Linked DNA regions of Lytechinus pictus. The protein of the gene in region 2 interacts with the protein of the main gene of each other region in a pairwise test. Links are inferred from orthologs where the notes say so. Each region holds a gene or a part of one and is shown on either strand. Other genes may lie near its edges. The genes, in order: partitioning defective protein 6-like, protein kinase C iota type-like and protein numb-like.

Region 1 (7,147 bases), on a different chromosome or scaffold from region 2:
AATATAATTATTTTTCAGCCAGGGGTGCCCTTTTAAACGTACGGTTAGGCCTAAGATGTGTCTATTTAACTATTATAGTCGAAACAAAAAAACTCGAAGGATTCAAGTTTACTTTATCAAGATTTTGAAAACATATTTGCTGTAAAAGGCCTTCACTTTGTACATCTAAATGTTAGATCTATTCTACCAAAAATTTCAGAACTTCGAATTCTTTTTAAGAGAAAGAATCTTGCAGTCATTGCTTTCACAGAAACATGGCTAAATAACTCGGTGAACGATGAAGAAATCAATATAGATGGATACAAAGTAATACGCAATGATAGATTATCAGGTTCTGGGGGTGGTGTATGTTTTTATGTCCGAAATGATATTGCATTCAATATCATAGATGTTTTAAGTACAGGTGATTCTGAATCACTGTGGATTAATTTGCTTCTACCAAGATCAAAACCAATTATTGCTGGCGTCATTTATAGGCCTCCGAAAAGCAATCAATTTATTGAGAAGATGTCAAATATTCTCGATATATTAAAGAAAGATGATGAAATTATACTTTTAGGCGATATGAATGTTTGTCTTTTTCAGAAATCTCCACTGGCTAAAAAATATACTGACTTATTGAGTCTTCATGGATTTAGCCAACTCATCAAAGATGCAACCCGTGTCACTCACACATGTTCTTCTTTATTGGACCATGTGATTTGTAATAACGAACAAAAAATAAGTCAAAGTGGTGTTATTGATCTTGGTATAAGTGACCATTCTTTTACTTTCTGTACACGAAAGAAAATTAGGCTGGCTATAGGTGTTCACAGAACCATTGATATCAGATCGTTGAAAAAATATAGCGAAGAATCTTTCAATCTTAAACTGTCTGCCGTTGATTGGTCAGATTTAACCCAATGCACTGACGTAAATAAGGCTTGGTCAGTTTTTCAAAATACTTTTATTTCAACGTTGAATATGATAGCGCCTCAAAAACGGATTAGAATTAAACAGAGATCAGAAAACTGGATGACTAAAGATATTATTTCTCTTATTCGAGAAAGAAATGTGGCGTATAAAAAAATGAAGAAAAATCTAAGCGGTCAGGATTATGACACGCTTTCCAAAAGATACAAGAAATTAAGAAATATGGTTCAAAGAGAGGTGAAAAAGGCCAAATTAGAATACCTACAAAATAAAATAGAAGAAAATAAAAATGATTCTAAAAGACTTTGGCAGAATCTAAAAAGTTTGGGATTAAAAAAGAAAAATGGAAAGGACCAAGAATTAGTCGTTTCAATTGACGGAGAATTATGTCATGATAAGATAACTATTTCCAATGAATTCAATTCCTATTTTACAAATGTCGCAGCTACGTTGGTAGATAAACTTCCATCTTGCAAAGATATTTTCAGTGCAGACAGTGAAAACATTCGTAAATTTTATGAAAAAAAGGGTATAAGCCAAGATAAATTTGAATTATTACCTGTTAGTGATCAATTCATTTTTAATGAGTTGCGTAAATTAAATGTATCAAAAAGCACTGGGTTAGATTTGATACCTGCTAAATTTCTAAAAGAAGGAGCAAAGAGTTTGTACAAACCATTAAATTTCTTAATAAATCTATCTATCTTTACTAGCACTTTCCCAGAGGATATGAAAATTGCAAAAGTAACTCCTATTCATAAGAAGAAAGATAAAACTGCTGTTGAAAACTATAGACCTATCAGTGTTTTAAGCATAGTATCCAAAATTCTAGAAAAGGCGGTATGTGTTCAGATCGAAAAATATTTTAAAGAAAATGATATGATTTACGAGTCAGGTTTTCGACATGACTATTCGACTGAGACATGCCTTATTCACTTGACTGATTATCTGAGAACAAATATGTCTAAGGGACAATTCGTTGGGATGGTACTCCTAGATCTTCAAAAAGCATTTGATACAGTTAATCACGGCATCTTATTGAAAAAATTACAAATAATGGGTTTTAACCAGGCTACTGTAGCATGGTTCAAATCCTACTTGTCGAATCGACATCAAGTAGTGGCTATTCGCGATATTTGTTCCAAAATTATGCCTATAACGTGTGGAGTTCCACAGGGAAGTATTTTAGGCCCAATCCTATTTTCAACTTATATCAATGACATGTCTATTTGTTTAAAAGCTGATTGTAAATTATTATTGTATGCAGATGATAGCGTACTACTTTGTTCAAATGCCAACCCAAAATTTGTTGAGGAAAAACTTAGCGAACAGCTGTCTACATGTGTCGATTGGATGACTGATAATAGATTATCGTTACACTTAGGCAAAACCGAAAGCATTCTGTTTTGTTCTAAAAGTAATCATAAAACTTCATTTGAATTTGAAGTATCATACAATAATAAGATAATTCATAGGAAAGAATCTGTAAAGTATTTAGGCATTGAGTTGACTAGCTCCCTTTCATTTTCATCTTTAGTAGAATCAATCGTAAAAAGGGCGAATGCCCGTTTGAAATTTTTGTACAGGTATCAAAGTTGTATGGATCAAAAAGCAAGGCGTATTCTCTGTTTTGCTCTTATTCAGAGTTTATTTGACTATGCCAACCCTGCTTGGTTTAGTGGCATAAGCGAACTCGATAAAAAGAAGTTGAAAATTATACAGAATAAAATGGTTAGATTCATTAGCTGTTCTGGTCCCAGAACCCATGTTGGCTACACCGAACTCTCTGGAGCAGGTTTTCTTGAAGTCAACAAAAGATCAAAACAGCTTATTTTGCACCACGTGCATAAAATCTATCACAATAGATCGAATCATTACATTGGATCAAACTTTAATCTAGTTACCGAAATACATAACTATAATACAAGAAACAGCCATTTCAATTTTTGCTTACCAGAAAGGGTAGGTAGTATTGGTAACTCATTTTATTACAATGCTATAAAACATTGGAATTCCCTTCCCAATGATATAAAGGAAATAGGAAACTTTTTGCATTTTAAGAGGAAATTGAAAGAATATCTTTCACTTGAGAGTCAAAAAGAAGATGCAAATGATATGTTGTACGGTTGATTTAGCCTGAATACTGACCTAGTTCTTTTCTCTTCTCTACTTGGTATTATTATGTATTTTACATAGTTTGATTGAAGCTTCGATATGTCCTTTCTTCTATTCTTTCTATTTCTTTTATTTCTTCCTATTCTCCTCTTCTTGTTGTTATTGTCGTCACGTTTATGCTGTTGTTCTTCTCCTTATTTATTTCCCTTCGTTGTCAGTTTCTTCCGTCTCCTTCTACTCCTCGTCCCCCTCTTCTTCTGTTCCTCCTCTTCCTTCTCCTTCTTTTCTTCTTCTTCTTCGTTATATTCTTGTATATATCTTATTTATTGTCTATATATCTTATTTATTGGTAATAGTAAATTCTGATTTTTTTTCTTCATTTTTAATATGTAAATAGTATAATTTTAACATTTTATTATCTTAATTCTGTATATTGAGGACCCCACTGGAAATAAGCTTTCGAGCTTTCGTGGGTCATCCTGTGCAAGCCTGTTGTTTTAATGCTACTGTATATATGTTATGGTGACTTGCCAAATAAAATCAATCAAATCAATCAATCAATCAATCAATCAATCGAACCGCGGACTTCGTCATGCAGATACCACTATAGTGTCGAGAAGTTAAAAGGAAATGGCGCCATCCTACACTTTGCACGCCCAATCCAAAGGTGTGTCCCTTTATGACTCAACTTTGTTCTCACACACACCCACATGAAATAGAATAAATTAATTTTTTCTAATTGATGATGTTAATTAACAGAGCCTTTTCTCTAGAATACATTGAAGAAAAATACTGGGGAAATTCGATGTTGAAACAAGGGGCACCACGGGGGCACCAACAGTACCAAGTTGACTGGTTGGCGGAAGTAATTTGGAAGTGGGTTTATATCTGACGTCACAGCCAACTGATGTATCAGCGACATCACATCAACCCGTAATTTGTCAATTTGATTACCTCTTTGGAAGGAAATAGGAAGCAATAGGATTACTCTTTGGAGAATTGATGATTTCCCGCTTCAAATGCGGGATTCGGTGGGCATTATGGCGAAAAATGGATCCACGACAATGCTCAATGGGAGCAACAGATGGGCTAAAGGACTGAAAGAAATCAAAAGCAAGGTGAGTATTTCATTGGTGTTCTCTCAGACTCATGTCTCTGCTCTAGCACTGACACTACCGGTACTCTGTCACAGCAGGCTAGGCCTCCTTCGCGGCCGCGGCGGAGCCGGCGCCCCTTGCCCTTGCTGCTTGTTGCCTGAACAGGCGCTGTCCTCTGGCTCGAGTCTAGACATGGACCAAGATGAATGTTATTAATTACTAACTAAGTCACTATTATTGATAACTGCAATATTATTTTCTTTATCATTTTGAAAACACGACCCAGCTGCCCAGTGTAATAACTTCAAGTCCTTTTCATGAAAGAATCGTACCATAAAAAAAGGAGAATGATCGATACATCATACCGGGCGTAAGGACATTTAATATTCAACCCGTTTGGAGACTTTCCTCAGATATATAGAAATATGGAATTTACCTTAATTTCAGACCTGTCTTATATCCAAGAGCAAATGCTGGTTATTCTTTTTGGAATTTTGCATTATTTTTTTCTTCAACCCGTCGACGCGACTGCCGGGGCGATCAAATTATTCGGCGATGGTTTTGGCACTAGTAAGTACATGTAGTATTCAACCTGTCGCCAGTCGGAAGATTTTTTTTTCAATTATGGAATTGGAAGAAGATCAGAAGGACAAAAAAGAGAAAATAGACATACATAGTTCTAAGTAGGATAAAAGAGAAGAAGACAAATGGAGGAAGAGAAATAGTAGGATGAGGAGAGAATTTTGAATGGCCATTTTCATTTTGGCAGGCTAAAAAGGTCTTGATGGGGGCAGATCACCTATCATTAAGTTCTTCCCATTCATTATTTGCACCACTCTATAAAATTTGAACTACATTTATACAGTGCTTCCCAGAAAAAACGAAACCGAGGTTTAGTGATGATTTATCATAACTTAATCATAAATCTTCTCTTTCAGAAGGTATAACATACAAGATTTCTCATCCACGCATGAGTGAGACAGTGGGTAAAAACAATTTGAAGAAAGGATAGCAAAAAGTCATTTGGCGGGGGGTATCAAAATTAAAAAAAAATCACATGCCTAAAAATTTAAATATCTGTTTTTTAATGTAGCTAAATCGCAGAAAATGGTCAAGAAATAATAAAGCTATGGTTCTTCAAAATAATTCTTGTATTTCCATAATTTCATGAAACATACATGTTTTCACCGGTTTCCCGCAGAAGCTATCGCACGGTTAACAAAAGACTTTATGCATGGCTGATCATCAACAAAACGGATTGTCAAGTAAGTCTGAAAGTTATCCAGTATTAAAACCTCTTCATTTTATGAATTATTGGACTTCAAGCCTTATTTCAAATAAACAGAACTAGGTTTAATACTTCTTGAACGTTTTCTGTTATTGAGGTATCAAATTAAAGAGCAGATATTGAATTTTTTAATGTGATTTTTTTTTTGAAACTCAGATACTGCCCGCCAAGTGACTTTTTGGTTTCCTTTCTTCAAATTTTTTTTGCTCACTCAGGCATGAATGATAAATAATCTTTTTTCAAATGAAAGAGGAGACTCTTCTTTACAATGATAGGTCATTTGTCTATTGTATTTGTGATTAAGTTATGAAAAATCATCGATAAATATCGGTTTCGTTTTTTCTGGGACGCACTGTATACATGTAGTTCAAATTTTATAGAGTGGTGCAAATAATGAATGGGAAGAAATTAATGATAGGTGATCTGCCCCCATCAAGACCTTTTTAGCCTGCCAAAATGAAAATGGCCATTCAAAATTCTCTCATCCTATTTCTCTTCCTCCATTTGTCTTCTTCTCTTTTATCCTACTTAGAACTATGTATGTCTATTTTCTCTTTTTTGTCCTTCTGATCTTCTTCCAATTCCATAATTGAAAAAAAAATCTTCTTCAGCCTGGTGTAGTACAGAAGTAAAGTTAGTACTGTAAAACTATGGTACCATGCCATACAGGTACAATGAATCGCCTTCCTATTGTGTAGGCTACTCTACATACTCTGGAACTCATCCTTGCAAAGGGAAAATATCATTCTGAGCAAAACTTTTTTTTTACAGAAAAGTGATTTTTTTAATGCAAATGTGAATATTGGAGAAAATTATTGAGTGGCTGATGTAACATTCAATTACATGCCTATTCTGCTTTGTATCTGTCGCAAATTTGTAATACACTTGTAAAACTTTATACTAGAGACTATTTTTAGTTTTGGTAATACAATCATAGAGAGCATGTATTACAGAAGGAGATCCTTCTTCCAATTCCTCTGTTAATCCTTTGTTATCGCTTCCCTCTGGCGAAGGAACGATATCTAACATCAATCGGCAAGCCGCCAGGCGAAAGTAAGAGCCCGCTTACGTAACGCAATAAGCCCGCTCGTAAAATCTGAGGTCAGTGATTTTTTTTAAGGTCCCTGCGAGGCACCGCCGAAAACGACGTTCTTCCACATAACTTCGAGCTCTGTTTTTTTCAAAATCGAAACACGACTTGCTGTACTTCCAACATCCATATCACTTCGTACGGATTTCTGTACGTCTTTGATGTATGGTTGAACTTCTGAGATGATCCCCTTTGCATACATACCAAATACGTCACAATCTGATTTGACTCAACAAAATTACAAACGGAGGAACTTTAGAGATTGGTCATTTTAGGTATGTCTGTCTTTCTTCCGTAGTTAAATCTTTTCCTGCTCGTACATGTTTTAGAAATTATAAGGTGAAAAAGCATACTTTGAGCTTAATTTTTATGCAAAGATCATTTGCGTGATTACAATGGCCTTGATACTATAACGACGAATCTACGATCCATTTCTACGTCGATTGATGCATCGTCGAGTATCTTCCAGTGCCCCACGTACTCCTATTTGTGTAAGTTGAAGGTGAGTGTGATGGTTGAGCTCCGAGCTTGCGCACCCAGCTCATTCATACAGTACAGGCCTCAGCTCCGGACCGTTTCGGAAAAACCTGAATTGACTCATTTGAAGAGATAGATCTAGACCTAACTTTTATGATATTTCGTTGA
Region 2 (7,043 bases):
GATACTAAGATAGAAATATATCTTAATTTTGATTAAAAATCTGTTGTGGGAAAGGTGGACAGATAATTCAAAGCTTTTAGTTCTAGATCTTTTCCATATATTTTTGAAGAACATTGGAAAAAACATCCACTGTAAAAGGATTGCTTTTCAAATGCACTCACAATTTAAGCTATAATGACACAAAAGTGGCAAGACAGCAGAAATATTTTGTGGTGTAGTCCCATTCATGCATTTATATGTTTGCAGTGCATTAAAATTCTCAGCAGGTCTACTTTAGTCAGTTTTGCAACATTGACTACTTTAGTCAATTGCAAAATCTTACATCATTATGATATTTGATAGTTGTATGTAGAATAATCTGCAAATCTATCAGGAATTAGATGTTTCCCTATTTTCTTCAACCTTCAAATATCTTTAAATCCAAGACCTTAATACGAAGGGTACAGCATAGTCCTATATGAAGGGTCAGAGGTCTCAACTGAGATATAGTGATAAGTGATTATATCATAGAGATAATGGCCTCGTTATCAAGCCCAGTAAGAGCAAAGAAGCACAGCTGACCTGATTAAAGTTTATTATTTGACTTTTAATGATGTAAATTGGTTAGGGAAAAGCAGATAAGACACCCTTGGCTGTGTGTAGTGTAGAAACATCTATTGGCTAATTAAACACGCAAGCTTAGGGTATTTGCACTCTTCCTTATGTGGTCTGTTCATATTTTCACCAGTGTAGCAATCCAATGCCAGTTAAGCATTTGTTATTCTGCCAAAGTGATGAAAACCTCTATTCTTGTTATGCTAACAGGCCGCTGAAAGGGTCATACCCCACCCCCACTTATTTTTCAGTATGTATACAGAAACTTGAAAATTACCCATTTGTGATTGTATACATGTTCAGCCCCCCCCCCCCTCCTTTTCAAATTTGTTCAGCGGCCTCTGCATAGTTTTGGCACAACTATATATTCAATCTGGTGTTAGTGTAAACCGTCTATCTGTGTTGGTTACAGCATTGGACTGGCATCAGTGTTGTGTTGGTGTTGGTCTGCTCCTGGACAGGGTGCGAGTCTGGTGTAGGACTCAGTGCTATTGTGGTGATAGACTAAGTCTTATGTTAGACTTGGAGTCGGTTCTGTATTAGACTTGATTTCTGTTGTTAGACTTGACATCAGTTTGGTGTTACAGTCTGGTTTCTGTCCAGCGTAAGTTTAGTGTCATTCACGTATCAATCTGGCGTTGGTTTGCATCATCATTATGACTGCATGCTGTAATGTCTCTTCTGCATTTCCTCCATGTCCAGTAAGGTCACTCATAGTACAACTGTCCATTGAGTGACCTTATGCATCAGGCATGTATGCACACCACTTGGCAGTGTTCGACACTGAAATATTGTTCAAATAGCTGTAGCTGAAAACCACCACCAATCGACCATAGCATATTTTTATGCCTGCTTGGCTTTGAGCAAATAAGTCATACATGTACAATTCATATTCCACGGCAATAACATCTGACTCAAGAATGGAATATTTTTTGGTGATAAAGGTAAGGTATGCATGAGTAGTGAATGTTTGATTAAAGGCCTACCACAATTCAAGGATTTGATCAAAATAGCTATCACACCATTCTACACGTATCAGTCTATGTGGAAAATAGTGTTGGAGTCATTAGTATTGGTGTGTAAACGGGAGACTCTTCGTAAGGCGAGTGGAGAACACAGAAATCTGTTCGACTTAGCCAAAATTTAACTTTTAAGATGTAAATGAGCATTGTTTTATGGAATCTGGTCTGAAAGTGAAACAATGCTTCAAGTTATTGACTTATCGATTGATTGATTATTTGATTGATAGATTTCATTTCTCATGATAAAACACAGTAAAAAATAAGTGCATATGGAAGGTTGACTCATATATAATCTACTGTACCACTGGATGGTAATTTGTATAAGATTTCTTTTTTTTTTAAGAAGACTAGGATATTAGTATAAAAAAATATGGTGTTATGATGTCCTTCACACTTGTGTTTTCTACGCATACTTCTCCAGGGATTGGTGTGAGATCTAAAAAAAAATAACGTCTCCAAATCGTTGTTTCTCATGGTCTGAACACAGTGGTTCCCTTCTCACCTGTCTTTGCTACACATACTCCAACCCTCAATGGACGGAGATCCATTTGGCGCGCCCCAATTTGACCGATTCTCTGGGGTGCGCGGTGACATTCCCACGTAACGCATACGTCGGTATCGATCCAAGCGTCAATTATGTAAATCACATCTTTTCTCTGGACAATTCCGGAGCATGACCAGACATTTTGCCGGTGTATTCATGGGATATCGTTAGTGGATTCTCGGCTATAAATGATGAAATGATGCAAACATGGAACCATATTGAAAAGCAATAGGCGTACATGTTCTCTGTGCATTTTCTAATAGACAGATTAAAGATTAGATTTTAAATAGCTGTCTTTGAATTTGTGAAGACAAAGACAAATATTTATCTAGTTTTGAGGTTACTTGACATTACAATTTTCATAAAGCCATGGATGCTTTTAGAACACTATTAGGGATAAAAGACTGGACAATTCAGCCTTATGACATATATTAAGTGGTCATTAATCAAAGTTTAGATTCATAAAAGCATGAATTTTAGCATTGATTCCCTTCACACAATTGAACATTAATTATGTCAGGTTATTGGGGGAAAATTTGGCTGCAGTCCCATGCCTTCAATTCAGTATTTGCTTGAAGATCATATTTCCGCACTCCTTAGTAGCTAGTCTAACCCTGACAACATTTGTGCATTAATTTCCTTGAGCCTCGCCTCATGATCATGACCAAGAGGTCTTCAATTAATTAGTTCCTTCTCATGTTTCCTATAATGACTGCCGATGCCGACCATGACCAAATTAAGATGATCTTGAGGAATTGTATAGTGCCTACATGTATAGAGACTTGACAGATAGCACACAGATGCATTGAATACACAGTACATCACATAGAGATACATGTGCAATTTTGTTGTCATATATTGTTTTTGATGCTACTAAAGTAATTTTCAAATTAAATGAGCAGAAATCTTCAAGTTGAAATGGCTACATTTTTACACAATAAATTGAGAAAAATATAATCGGGACTCCTTTTCCACTGCTTTTATAAGTAATACTTTTTATGTTCATTCTAATTTCATATTTCAGTGGCGATATATTTAATTGTATTCAAGTAATTAATACTAGAAAGTTTATTTATAATGATTCTGATTGATATAACTTGGTAGTAATCTTTGCATCAATATTTTTTTTTACTGTACTTAAAATAAAACCTAATGGGAGTCTTAGAAAAATGTAACAGATATTGAGGATATTATTTAGGGGAATTTATAAACATTGCATGGAAAATATAACTTTTTTTCTAAATAAGGCACATCTGTTGGTATTCTCATAATAGTACAGCTTATTACCCCTTTTGGAATTATGATAACAAGTTTGTGCAGTTACTGTATATAGTGTCATTACTGTACTGTAAGTAACATTTAGTGACTGCATGTCTTCATTTGATCTGAATAAAAATTGAATATCGTGGATTTGCAATAAATCTGTAAATAATTGATAGTATGCCTACCAAATGAATAATATCTGATTTTCTGACAACATTATTGAATAAAAAATGTCATATTCGGTGAGCTGAAAATAAAGGTCATCTGACCCAGAGTGAAGGGGCAGGAGGGGGAAGGGAGCGTGATTTATTCAGTTGGCGTACAAATATTCTGCTAACAAGATTAGGAGGCAACAAGTTATTGTTTATTTCAATGAAGCAAGCTAATTATAGACTTCCCGCTACTATACATGCATGATAAAGATTAAATGTATATCTGTCTCGTAGAACGCACAAGTATGCTGTGTTACCCCCAGGCCCTCGTCCCCCTCCCCCCAACGATTGCTACATGGGGTGACGGGGAAGGGGGATCGTGTGGCTGTCATGTCATACGCGTCGTGCCTGCGAGTCAGCGAAGTGACAGCTGAGTCGGTCTTCCTCTCTCGGAGAGCCGATACATTTGGCCGGTTGACGCTAGTACTTTAGAATGTTGGCATGAGCTCACGCTTTGAAGATTTCAATCAAGGATGCACATTTGCTCTCTCACTCATCCAACAAGAGAAAGACAGAGCGAGAGAGAAGGACAGTCTGAGGATAGACATCATGTGTCAAGCTTGTATGTTTCGTTGTTTTTAGATTGATTTAGCATTCCTGGCATAGCAGCACAGTGCTTTCATTGCATTAACCGGTTGTCGACGGTTGCTTGCTCTGTGTGTTCACTCAGTGTACATTCCCCATAAGCAGAATGTGTAACAGCGGTGGGATACTGCTATTTGTATGTGGTTTGCGTGCAACCTTCTCTCAGCCCATCATGCATTCATGAGTCGAGAGCCAAGCCTGTATACCCCCCTGACACAAACATGTTTGCGTTTCCAACCATATTTTGTGGACAAACACGAAAATGAAATATTAGTCAGTGAAAATAGGCCCAGCTGCAAGGAGGATCTTCATTACTGTGTAGCTCATTTTGCCATGGAATCACGCGGATAATTTTTGTCTCTGGAAATCACTCCTTGGCGTCGCACAGATGGACATCCGAAAGGCGAGGATACTCTTTCAAGGGTACGTTCTCCGGCTGGTGAAATGTGAGTGATGAAATATAGACGGGTGAGCGAGTGTCGTCGATTTCTCTGAAATCTGTTTGCTTGAATGTAGAATCCTGTGTAGCTCCTGTACTGTCTTTGCTGTCATGTGGATCCATACTAGATAGTTCATTACCAGTCCGAAAGAATCTCTCAAAGCAGGTTTTGTATTGAATTGCAAAATCTACCAAAAGGATATGGTGGCTAACACTACTAGATCTACATCTAGTAGGTTTTTTTATATCAGAAAAAGTAGGACATGATTGTGTCGTGTATTCCATTTCCCAGGGAATGGTTCTGGCTGTTTTCAGAGAAAATGAAATAAATCAGGCGAGGGGGGAAAAGGATAGAATCCATTCTTTCTCACAATTTGATCGATAACAATGAAGCAGAATGCTGGCATGAACGAATAGATTTTGGTTGTGGCATGTGAATATAATGATGCTAACGCTGTATGGGAAGCTGTGTGGGAATATGCATGTGAATTGTGGGTAAAGTTGCAGTACACGGTAAGTTGGCAAGTTTCTACTGTCTTAAAGACAATTCCCTGAATTTGACATTGGTTTAAAAAAGACAACATCTCTGTTATTTGGAATTCAATAATTGTCCCTAAATATAGTTTCAAAATGTCACTTGCCATATTATGCCTTTAGGCCCTAATGTAGGCCCACTAATAACAAAAACCAAATGATGACCTCTTTCCTTTTGAAGTTGACTACAAACCAACAATAAAGAAGGTTTAACTTAATTGCTATTAATTATCAGAGGTAACAATTATCAACTCAAACTCCCTCCTCGTATATATATTCAAGCCTTATGCATCAGAGAAATGGAATCCCCCGTCTCCCTCTTAAAGTATAAAATCATATGCATAAACTGCATACAGACTAGTCACTGAACCTGGAGGTATGTGGGGCGCTCAAGGCCGACACCCTTGCAGTTGTCATTTCGATGAATCCCTAGGTCTCTCTGTCTTTGAACGATAAACAAGTCCTATAGATGAGACATAAACAGAGATTGACTTGCTAAACCACACTGGTAATCACACAGTGCTGTGTAGTATATGGAGTACTTAAAAAATACATATTCCATATGTTGGCCTTTTTACTTTCGCAGGCCTACACTGCCCATGCAATTTGTGTCTTTGCTGCCTGGCTTTAAAATCACTCGATGGAGATACGTGTAGTCTATGATGAGCTAGCTTTCAATTAAAAATACACTGCATTATTGAATGGGTACTCTTCTGGCCTTTCCAGTGCCTGGGTCCCTTAACACAAAGGTTAGCGATTAATCGCTAAATGAAATGACCTATCACGATCATCGTTGCATACACATTTTGCTCTGTTGATTGATTAAGAACCAATCAGAATTGCTCTTTCAAATTAGCCATTAATTTGCTAACCCTTGTGTTACTGGGCCCTTGTCAGGCTTTGCTTTCTCATTCTTGGAATCTGCATCAAATATTGAAAGTCTCATTTGGAGCAAAGATGAACAAAAAAATATATTGAAGAAGCATTAAAAATGAAATGAAAGTATTAATAGAGAGAATAAAAAGGTCCATTGCAAATTATTTATAAGTTTATACAAATACCCTGACAATCATCTGATCAGTGAAAGCTGGAATGGTCAGGATGACAATTTGTAGTCTCATACATATGTGTTTGTGTGCGGTCCATGGCTGTGGAATCAATCAAATTACACTATCATTATAATTTGAATTATTGTTTTATTATTTTAATTATTGCTTGTTTGATCAATCTACAAAAAACATATAGCCTATGATAAACAACCATTCGTACCTACAGTTGTTAATAAAAAAAATAACAATCAATTTTCAATCATTTTGAGCCTTTTTTTCCCTTCACAATTCAGCTATTAGTATCAGGCAGAATTGAGGTTTATCTTTAACATTCGAATATGCATTTGTTCAGTCTTCTAATTCAAGAAAAATGATGTTTGGTTTTATATTTTCAATTTCCTGTGCCTCATCTTTATCTCCCAATAAAATATGCCTCTTAAATACATACCTTCATTTTTTTTGTGGGTTTTGTAGAGTCTAGCAGGGATCTCTCTGCTCTCCTTATAGTATTTTTCTTCCAGCTCATTAATCAGTCCATTAGTATGAGAGCTCTCAAAATGCCATTGCTGTTTAGGGTAAATATCGTAGATTGCCAATCTACTATTTATACACCTTTCCATTTACTCAGTCCCCATTTTTTTCTTTTTACTCCATGTTTCTATACTTTTCTATCTTCTGTTGCTTTGCAATTTATTGTATAAATTGTGAAAATCTTTTTTAATTATTGATTGTTACCTATAAGCCTACAGTATATTTGAAATGTGAAGATAAATAGACCTTTTCCCATTTGTGCCTACAAAA
Region 3 (7,603 bases), on a different chromosome or scaffold from region 2:
TAATTAAAACTCGACCAAAACTTAGGCCCTTGTAGATCAACAGATAAAACAAGAAATATAGACCATGAGAGTGACCAGTGGAGAGTTTCATGAATGGACTTATCCGATAAATCCCATTTTATCCGACAGTTACCATAGAAACACTGATTCATAGCCAATCAGCATCACAGAAAAGTTGTCAGATCGGACATCTTGTCGGACAAAAATGTTGATGAAACACTCCCCTGGAGTCCAAATGAATTATACACGCATACATTCACAGGTCAGATAGTAAGAATTTTGAAGAGACATAGAACAAAAAACATGTGTGGGTTGATTGTAGTTTAATTGCAATGAGATGCAGTCAGTTTTTCTTTCCCCTCGTATCTCTCCCCCTCTCTCTCTCTAGCTCTCTCCTTTTTTTATAAGGCCAAGGCCTCTGTTAATATGTTTTGGTTTTGATTGCAGAATAATTCTACCCAATATACCAATGCCAAACATTGAGAGCTGCGTTTATTCTTTAATATATACGTAGGCCTGTATGGCTATATCACAAAGTGTTCGTAAATATAAAACATTCCTCTTTTTCTAAGAGCTTATTATACTTTCAATAAAATGAAATAGAAATTATTGATTCAAAAGCAGTGATTTCTTCGAAAAGAGCAGCTGCTGAAAAATATCATCTGCAAAAGAACGCGGCGCCACGGCCACCCTTTCAGAATGCTGCATATTGCACGTAATTTTGCACAGCCATATCGCGATGCAAGTGTTTTTGTGTGTGTATGGCTTTGTTGTATGGTATACTCGTTGTGTGTGTGTATGTGTGTACGTGTGTACCGGTAATATATGATATTACCGATAATAAGATACCGTGAAGAAATATCAGCAGAAGATAACCCATGCCATGAACCCATGACTGAGCTACGTAATCACACCACAGGAGATAAGCCCTTAAATTTATCAATTTTTATAGAAGGGATTTTCGGAACTTCAACTTGAGGATAAAACCAGCAGATTTAATATTTAGGTATGTATTTTTCTTGCTAGCCGAATTTCAGATTTTTATTTGTCACTGAGACTAATTAACGTTAGTATTAAATTAGATCTAGCCTAATTAGCCGACAAGTATTTATGCGGTATACGGTACCGGAGGCGGAGGGCGCGGATTTAGAGAGGCAGGAGCCTGGGAGGTGGTACCGTATACCGGTACTTTTTTTTTTACGGCGGTAGACAGTTTTAACGTTAGTACCGGTACACGAATCTCAATATGAAAAATGAAAGTTCTCTTTTCTAAAGACTTTGACTCTGAATAGAATGTGCAAGCAAAAAATTGTGGTCTATGTGATATGCGATCCATAATTTCTGCAATCTTCTGTTCTAACTTCTAATTAGATCTAGAAATGTAGAATCTAGATAGATCTAATTCATGTTAAAATTGTTAGAATTATGCATGCCATGACCTTCGATCATTACTTGATAAAGTTTAGCATTGCTACCGTACTTGGTTTTATAATGTTATTCATCAATGACACTTGACAGTTTGCCATGGAGAAGTATGGTTGTTCCTATATGAAAAGGTCATATCTTGTGTGATTTCTTGTCTGAATCAATTTAATCTATCTTAGTTGCTTCAATTCATGATTCTTTTTCATTAAACCTCAACACAATTTTCAAAGATTTCTTGTTTTCTTTGACTTGGCCTTGGGTCTACATTTCATGTTCAAACTTCAAAGTCCATGTTCAGTTACAAATTACATGTACCGGTAGGCATATTTACATGTTGATGATAGTACCTTCTACTTAGATAGTTGTGTACATAGTGTTTCAAGTTTACATGACGCTTTGATACTGTACAAGTCTGTACATGTATCTACATTCATATTTTGCCAATGATTATGATGCACTAATATCTTTTTCAAATTGAAAAACAACAATTTTTCAATTATAAGTCTATGCATTTTGTAATGATGGCCTACGTATGTAAAATATGCAAAGTGGGTAATCCCCCAAAGCTGTGTGTGTTTTTTCTGAGTGTTTTTTAGGCAAAAACACTTTGCCGTAACTTTTCAGGAGCTATCATCTTATATTCTTAACAAAATCATGGAAGAGAACAGTATCAAATTGTTATGATGTGAAGGTATTTTGTGAAGGCTAATGATGTTTACTGTACAACTTTACAATACTAGAATTTACAGTCAAACCCTACTGTAGATACTAATAGGAATTTATGGAATGACATCCAACTAATTTCCAATGACATTTTAACAAATTGAACATTGTACTTCACTGATAAAATCATGCTGTTTTTACCTTGGTCATATTTGCTGCCCTCTGTGATCATGAAAGAGTTTGTTTTCATTTGGAAACCTTTGCTTTTGCTTTCATAGGACTTCATAAAGGAGTGAAAATGTGACAAGGATGTGGAGGGAAAATAAACCCCACTACCCACAGGAAATACATTTTGAAATATTAAATCGAGAAGTTAAAGCAATCCATGGAAAATCACCATTTTGATTATAATTCACATTATTGACCTTTTACCAGGCTTTTATAGGCTATATTAAACATTTCATCTGACATTTTGTTAAAGTATCTTATTTTAACAAAAGTACCCTCTTTTTAATTAATGTTTTTGGGGTAAAATAGTTTTGGAGGGATATTTATTAATTTATGAATATTAAATTTTGTCTAGCAAAATGTGATATTTTGTCATGATTTTTCCTTGGGACTTAACAAATTTTCACATATTTGTTTTGTCACTTTTATACCCTTTTGAAGTTTTGTGGATAGTACGTACTCCCTATATTTGAGGAGTGCTGGGAGCATACCATTATGATCTAGATCAATGGATTGAAGGAAATAGGTCCATGCACTGATAAACAGATTGTTGTAAAAATAGAAAAACAAATATTTGAGAACGTTTGAGGAAAATCCATCAAAGATTTATAAAGTTATTAGAATTTTCTTTTTATTTGAGACATCACATGAGAGCAGCTTCCCATGTATGGTGAAGGGTTTATTGTACCTTCATTTTGATCAACAATCTATTTCACAGGCACTCCTGAAAAAAGAAAATTTCTAGCCATCTCCCATTAAAAATTGAAATCGATACATTTTATATTACATGGCAATACATGTGAGACAGCTGCTTGTATATGATGTCACCATGGAGCTGTTCTCTGTAATAGCTCCATGATGTCACAAATTGAAAACTTGAAATTCTAATAACAATCTTTAAATTGATTTTCCTCAATCCTTCATAAATATATTTCTTATTATTTTTCCGGTATTTTTATAACAAACTTATATGTCAGAGGGAACTTCCCCTGTGAAAGAAATACCTGTACCTGGACATCATTTTTTTTTTTGTAAGTTGAAATATTAAGTAATTCTGTAATTCACAAGTCTATTTTCTTTGTTTGTAGTATATGTACTTTGTATCCTTTATTGTAAAGCGCATAGAGAAACTTTCAGTTTATTATGCGCTATATAAGAGAAGTATTATTATTATTATTATTTTTGTTTGTCTTTTAATGAATACTCTTATAAAATTCATTTTGATCAATGTGCATTTATAAACTCAAGATGAAATTTGAAAAAATAGGATAAAGTTTATTTTTGAAAAAATTAGTATAATGAATAAAATATTGAAGTAACTTTAATAGTCCTTTCAGATGAAAACAGATGTATACATTCTCATAGTAGGCAGGTCTAAAACATAATGCGATGATTTGATACCTTGTGGCAAGGAGGTCTTTGATATCTATCCTATCAACCCCTAAAGATATTGATTGGTTTATAATCCACCAAATTGCCCAATGCAGTGGGGCTTATTTTCTTGTACCTGCATATTGTATTTGTGTCCTATATCTCAATTTACCTTTTAAGAGCTGAGACTAGATTTATAGAGGGAACAATTCCTGTAAAAGAATGGTTTTAGGACTTCTAGCCTTTGATCTTTCCTAGAATGAACCTAATCCATTTGATGAATAGTGACAATCTGTTTGTAGAATTGAATATAACACACCCCCTCACCTGGCTTGTTGACTGCTCAGTGATTCAAAGAGGTAATAAATGTGTGTTTACACCAGGTTTATGCAGTGTTTCCCCCCAAAATGAAACATTTCCCTAAAACTCTTAAATATGGAGTTATGTGATTCCAGGAATGTGTTGAGGTAATCCCGTTAGAATAAACAATTTGAGACTGGATTGAACAGAAATTAGGTTTTAGTTTCATTCCAGTTTGGTATACATGTACATGTACATATAGAAATGATTGCATAGTTTTGAGATGCTTCATGGGGTAGGTTATGACCCCCATAGGGATGGTCCATTAGGAGTAGTAAATGCACATACCATTTTGTTTTAGGGGTGTTTCAGAGCCCTAAGCTTATGTGAAACTTAGCAACTGCTTAATTTGTGTTTATCCAAAGAGTGTATTGCTCGTGCACTCATTGAAGTGCAGTGTAATTATGAGTCACCTTCAAAATCAGAATGTTTCATGAAAGCAGAGCTTTTGTAGGATAAATGGCAGACAAGCATTGTTCTGTAGACCATACATCCCTCAATTTAGCTTAGTGTAGCTCACCATGCATACATACAAAACACAGACAGGCTTGGGTAATCCATTTGAAATGCTCCCCCACTGTTTGAATACTCTAATCTCAACCTAAGCACTCTGGTATGTGAGAAAGTTATTTGCATGGGTTTTGGGGGGTTACTGAAGCATCCTAAAACTTTGTATACACAAACTGCACTATTGGTCAGTCAGTATTGTATTAGCACAGGGAAGTACTACACATTGAGGATTCTCTCATTGGCTGTGTTTTGTTATACTACAACTACAAGTAGAATGAAGTATCTGTGCCACCTATGTCCTCGCCACCTTTACCTCTAAACATTGTGGAATATTCATTGGATATAAACAGTGGTCTTCTTCTCATGTATTATACTAGTTAACAACAGAGTAAAGTCATATCAGAAGAAATCAAGATGGGAAGACTCAAGTGAGTATAAAGTTAATATACTGTACATTGACCTATGTATTGTTACAGCCAGGTGTTTTCATTTGACCTTTTATTTATTGTAGATTTAAGTTTTAATTCGTTCTTTTAAAAACAATTTTGAGAACAGGAATCTTTCCTAATTGAGCAGCAGGCAAATCACATTTTACTCATTTTTATCATAAAAATGTAATTAAAATACTAGGTTTATTGCCTCCTTGGACATGTTGGAGTCCTGACTCTTCAGGCCATTTATATTATAATAATTAGGCTACACTGCTACATATATGTGTTAATAACATATTTTCCCTTACAATGTACATTGGGGATTCGTGAGGTGTCAAGTTTTTTTTGCTCACACTAGACTTTGTTGTTTGTATCGTGTTTAATGCATTTGTTGATTTTAGTTACAAGTTTGACTAAATTATTGAAGATTTTCCTTCATTTCAGAATTTTTTTGTTTTGAAAGTTTACACATACATTTTGTTTTTCTTGTTGGCTTTTGTGTAGACAACATCTACATATACATTGTAATTCAGTTCAAACATGAACTGAATCCAGGCAATTTAAGTAGCTACATTAGCTAATATGCCATGCACTCCTCAATTTAGCAAAAATCCTACATGTAAATGCTGGATATCCAAAAAGTGTGGAGCGAGGCGGAGGTACATGTATGAAAGTACAGAGTGAGGTGAAGGTATAATGTCTTCATAGAGCACATGATTATGCCATCAGTTAACTTGTGTGTGTATTGGTAATAGCATCAAGCCACACTCTATGCTAAGCCGACAATGTAGCACCTGTAGACACATTTAAATGCTGCTCTTGATAGCTACAGTGTAATTATTTGAAAAAAATATTTTTCCAGTTCTGAATTGATACAGCGTAAATTCTATTGATATGGGACCTAAGTAAATTTCGGCAATAAAGAAACAAACTAAATTTTCATAGGTCAAGTAGATTTGATGGCAAGTGGGCACTACTGTATATATCGAAAAGCTTGCACCTGAATATTATACTTGCTCAGATCAGAATTTTATTACTGTGTATTTTACTGGTAGGCCTCAGTAAACTGCAATGAAATAAATAGATGGGAGGACCATTGAATTGTAGCTCAACCCAAGAATAATGAGATAGAATAACAAATTTTGTCATTCTCCAAAAAATACCTGTCTTACTGGTGGTACTCCGGGCTGAAAATAATCTAAATAGAGTAAAATTAAGCAAACAAAACCCTGAAAGTTCCATCAAAATCTGATCACAAAAAATGAAATTAGTTGAATAATCTAGAATTTATGGCATCATGATGTCATGAAAATGCAATAGATGGGCGGATGTCATGTCCTTACTTTCTTAAAATCATAATTATTTCATATATGAGTATGGTACATGTATGTCTCCCAAGAGTCCCATGCAACAAAATAAGTTGCAGCAATAATTATCTTACACATTGAAATATTGAATCAATAGTCAATATTTTTTTTTCAATTCTTGGAGGACAAAATTTGAAGAAACGATTTCATAATGATAATAGAAAAAAGTGGGGATACATGTATGATATCAGCTTGCTCATTGCCAGGCATATACATGTACATTGTAGAACTGTTCCGCTATTAGAAACATGCAAAAGTTTGAATTGAAATAACTTTTTTGATGAAATTTTCAAATTATATTATTTTCATCCTGTAGTACCCCTTTAAAATTCATCACTATCTGAAAAGCATTCGAAGCTGATGCCTGATGGGGACTGGAAAATTCCTGGAGACCCTTTAAATATTGCTGATTTTTACATTTACATGTAAATGATGATTTCTATACAACCTTTCTTTTTAGTTTTCTGTATTCGATATAATTTTTCTTGATTTTTTCATATTTTTAGCCTCTTATTTTTCATGTTTTATAAGTTATTTAAGCCTATTCATTTACCATAATTTCTTTTATTTCATATATTTCAGGGATTTTATACACCTGTTCATTATTTCACTCTCTATTTTTTAACTGGATTATCTGCCCATTGGTGAAAAACAAACAGCTCTCAGCCCATGCAAGAAAGGACATTTCATGTTTTTTCTTTGGTTGAAATCAAAAGAAAAAGAATGAGATTAGAATAAATGTTGTTAATTTGCAATTTTGCTTAGTTTTCCTTTGGCAGATTTCTTTACAGAGCACATGTACATGTACATGTTACAGTGTACATGTACATGTTACAGTGTACATGTATTGCCAATCTGCATTATCTGAGTACAGGTTCATGCTGTAAATTATAATCCTAGGATACATGCCATTCTGATGAACTTTGCATGACAAATTTAGTTTATCAGCTTTATCTGCAGATAAGTGATGACCAAAGATAAGTGGATTAAATTGAAGCAGTGTAGTGGAAGTTTAATTAATGATGCTGGCTGCCTGTATTTCTTGAATTGAATACTGATTTGCTGCCCTAGAAAGAAATAGTTAAAACATGGAGCTACATGTATTACTCCATGGTTAAATTGTTGTACATAACATGTTGAAATAAGAAAGGAGCGGGGGGGGGGGGGGGGGTATTTGATAGGCCTATATATGTTCCTGTTCACTTTTTTTTCCCAAGTGAATCTCCTGTTGTTAAAGAGATGAAAGCA

What was found.
Region 1: the proteins of protein kinase C iota type-like (region 2) and partitioning defective protein 6-like interact in binary tests that used the Caenorhabditis elegans proteins (3 or more experiments, as listed by UniProt). The link is inferred for Lytechinus pictus from reciprocal best matches to the Caenorhabditis elegans genes pkc-3 and par-6.
Region 3: the proteins of protein kinase C iota type-like (region 2) and protein numb-like interact in binary tests that used the Caenorhabditis elegans proteins (3 or more experiments, as listed by UniProt). The link is inferred for Lytechinus pictus from reciprocal best matches to the Caenorhabditis elegans genes pkc-3 and num-1.

Annotation. Positions count from the first base shown.
Region 1 is NC_087246.1:69,801,047-69,808,193, reverse strand, and holds the start of partitioning defective protein 6-like, read left to right. Parts: upstream 1-4,067; coding exon 4,068-4,145; intron 4,146-7,147. UniProt on the Caenorhabditis elegans protein: Necessary for apicobasal and anterior-posterior asymmetries associated with cell adhesion and gastrulation during the first few cell cycles of embryogenesis. Required for localizing/ maintaining par-3 at the cell periphery.
Region 2 is NC_087258.1:8,748,320-8,755,362, reverse strand, and holds the start of protein kinase C iota type-like, read left to right. Parts: upstream 1-4,007; 5' UTR 4,008-4,608; coding exon 4,609-4,666; intron 4,667-7,043.
Region 3 is NC_087251.1:3,400,953-3,408,555, reverse strand, and holds the start of protein numb-like, read left to right. Parts: upstream 1-4,497; 5' UTR 4,498-4,971; coding exon 4,972-4,985; intron 4,986-7,603. UniProt on the Caenorhabditis elegans protein: Involved in the tethering and targeting of pkc-3 to modulate the intracellular distribution of the kinase.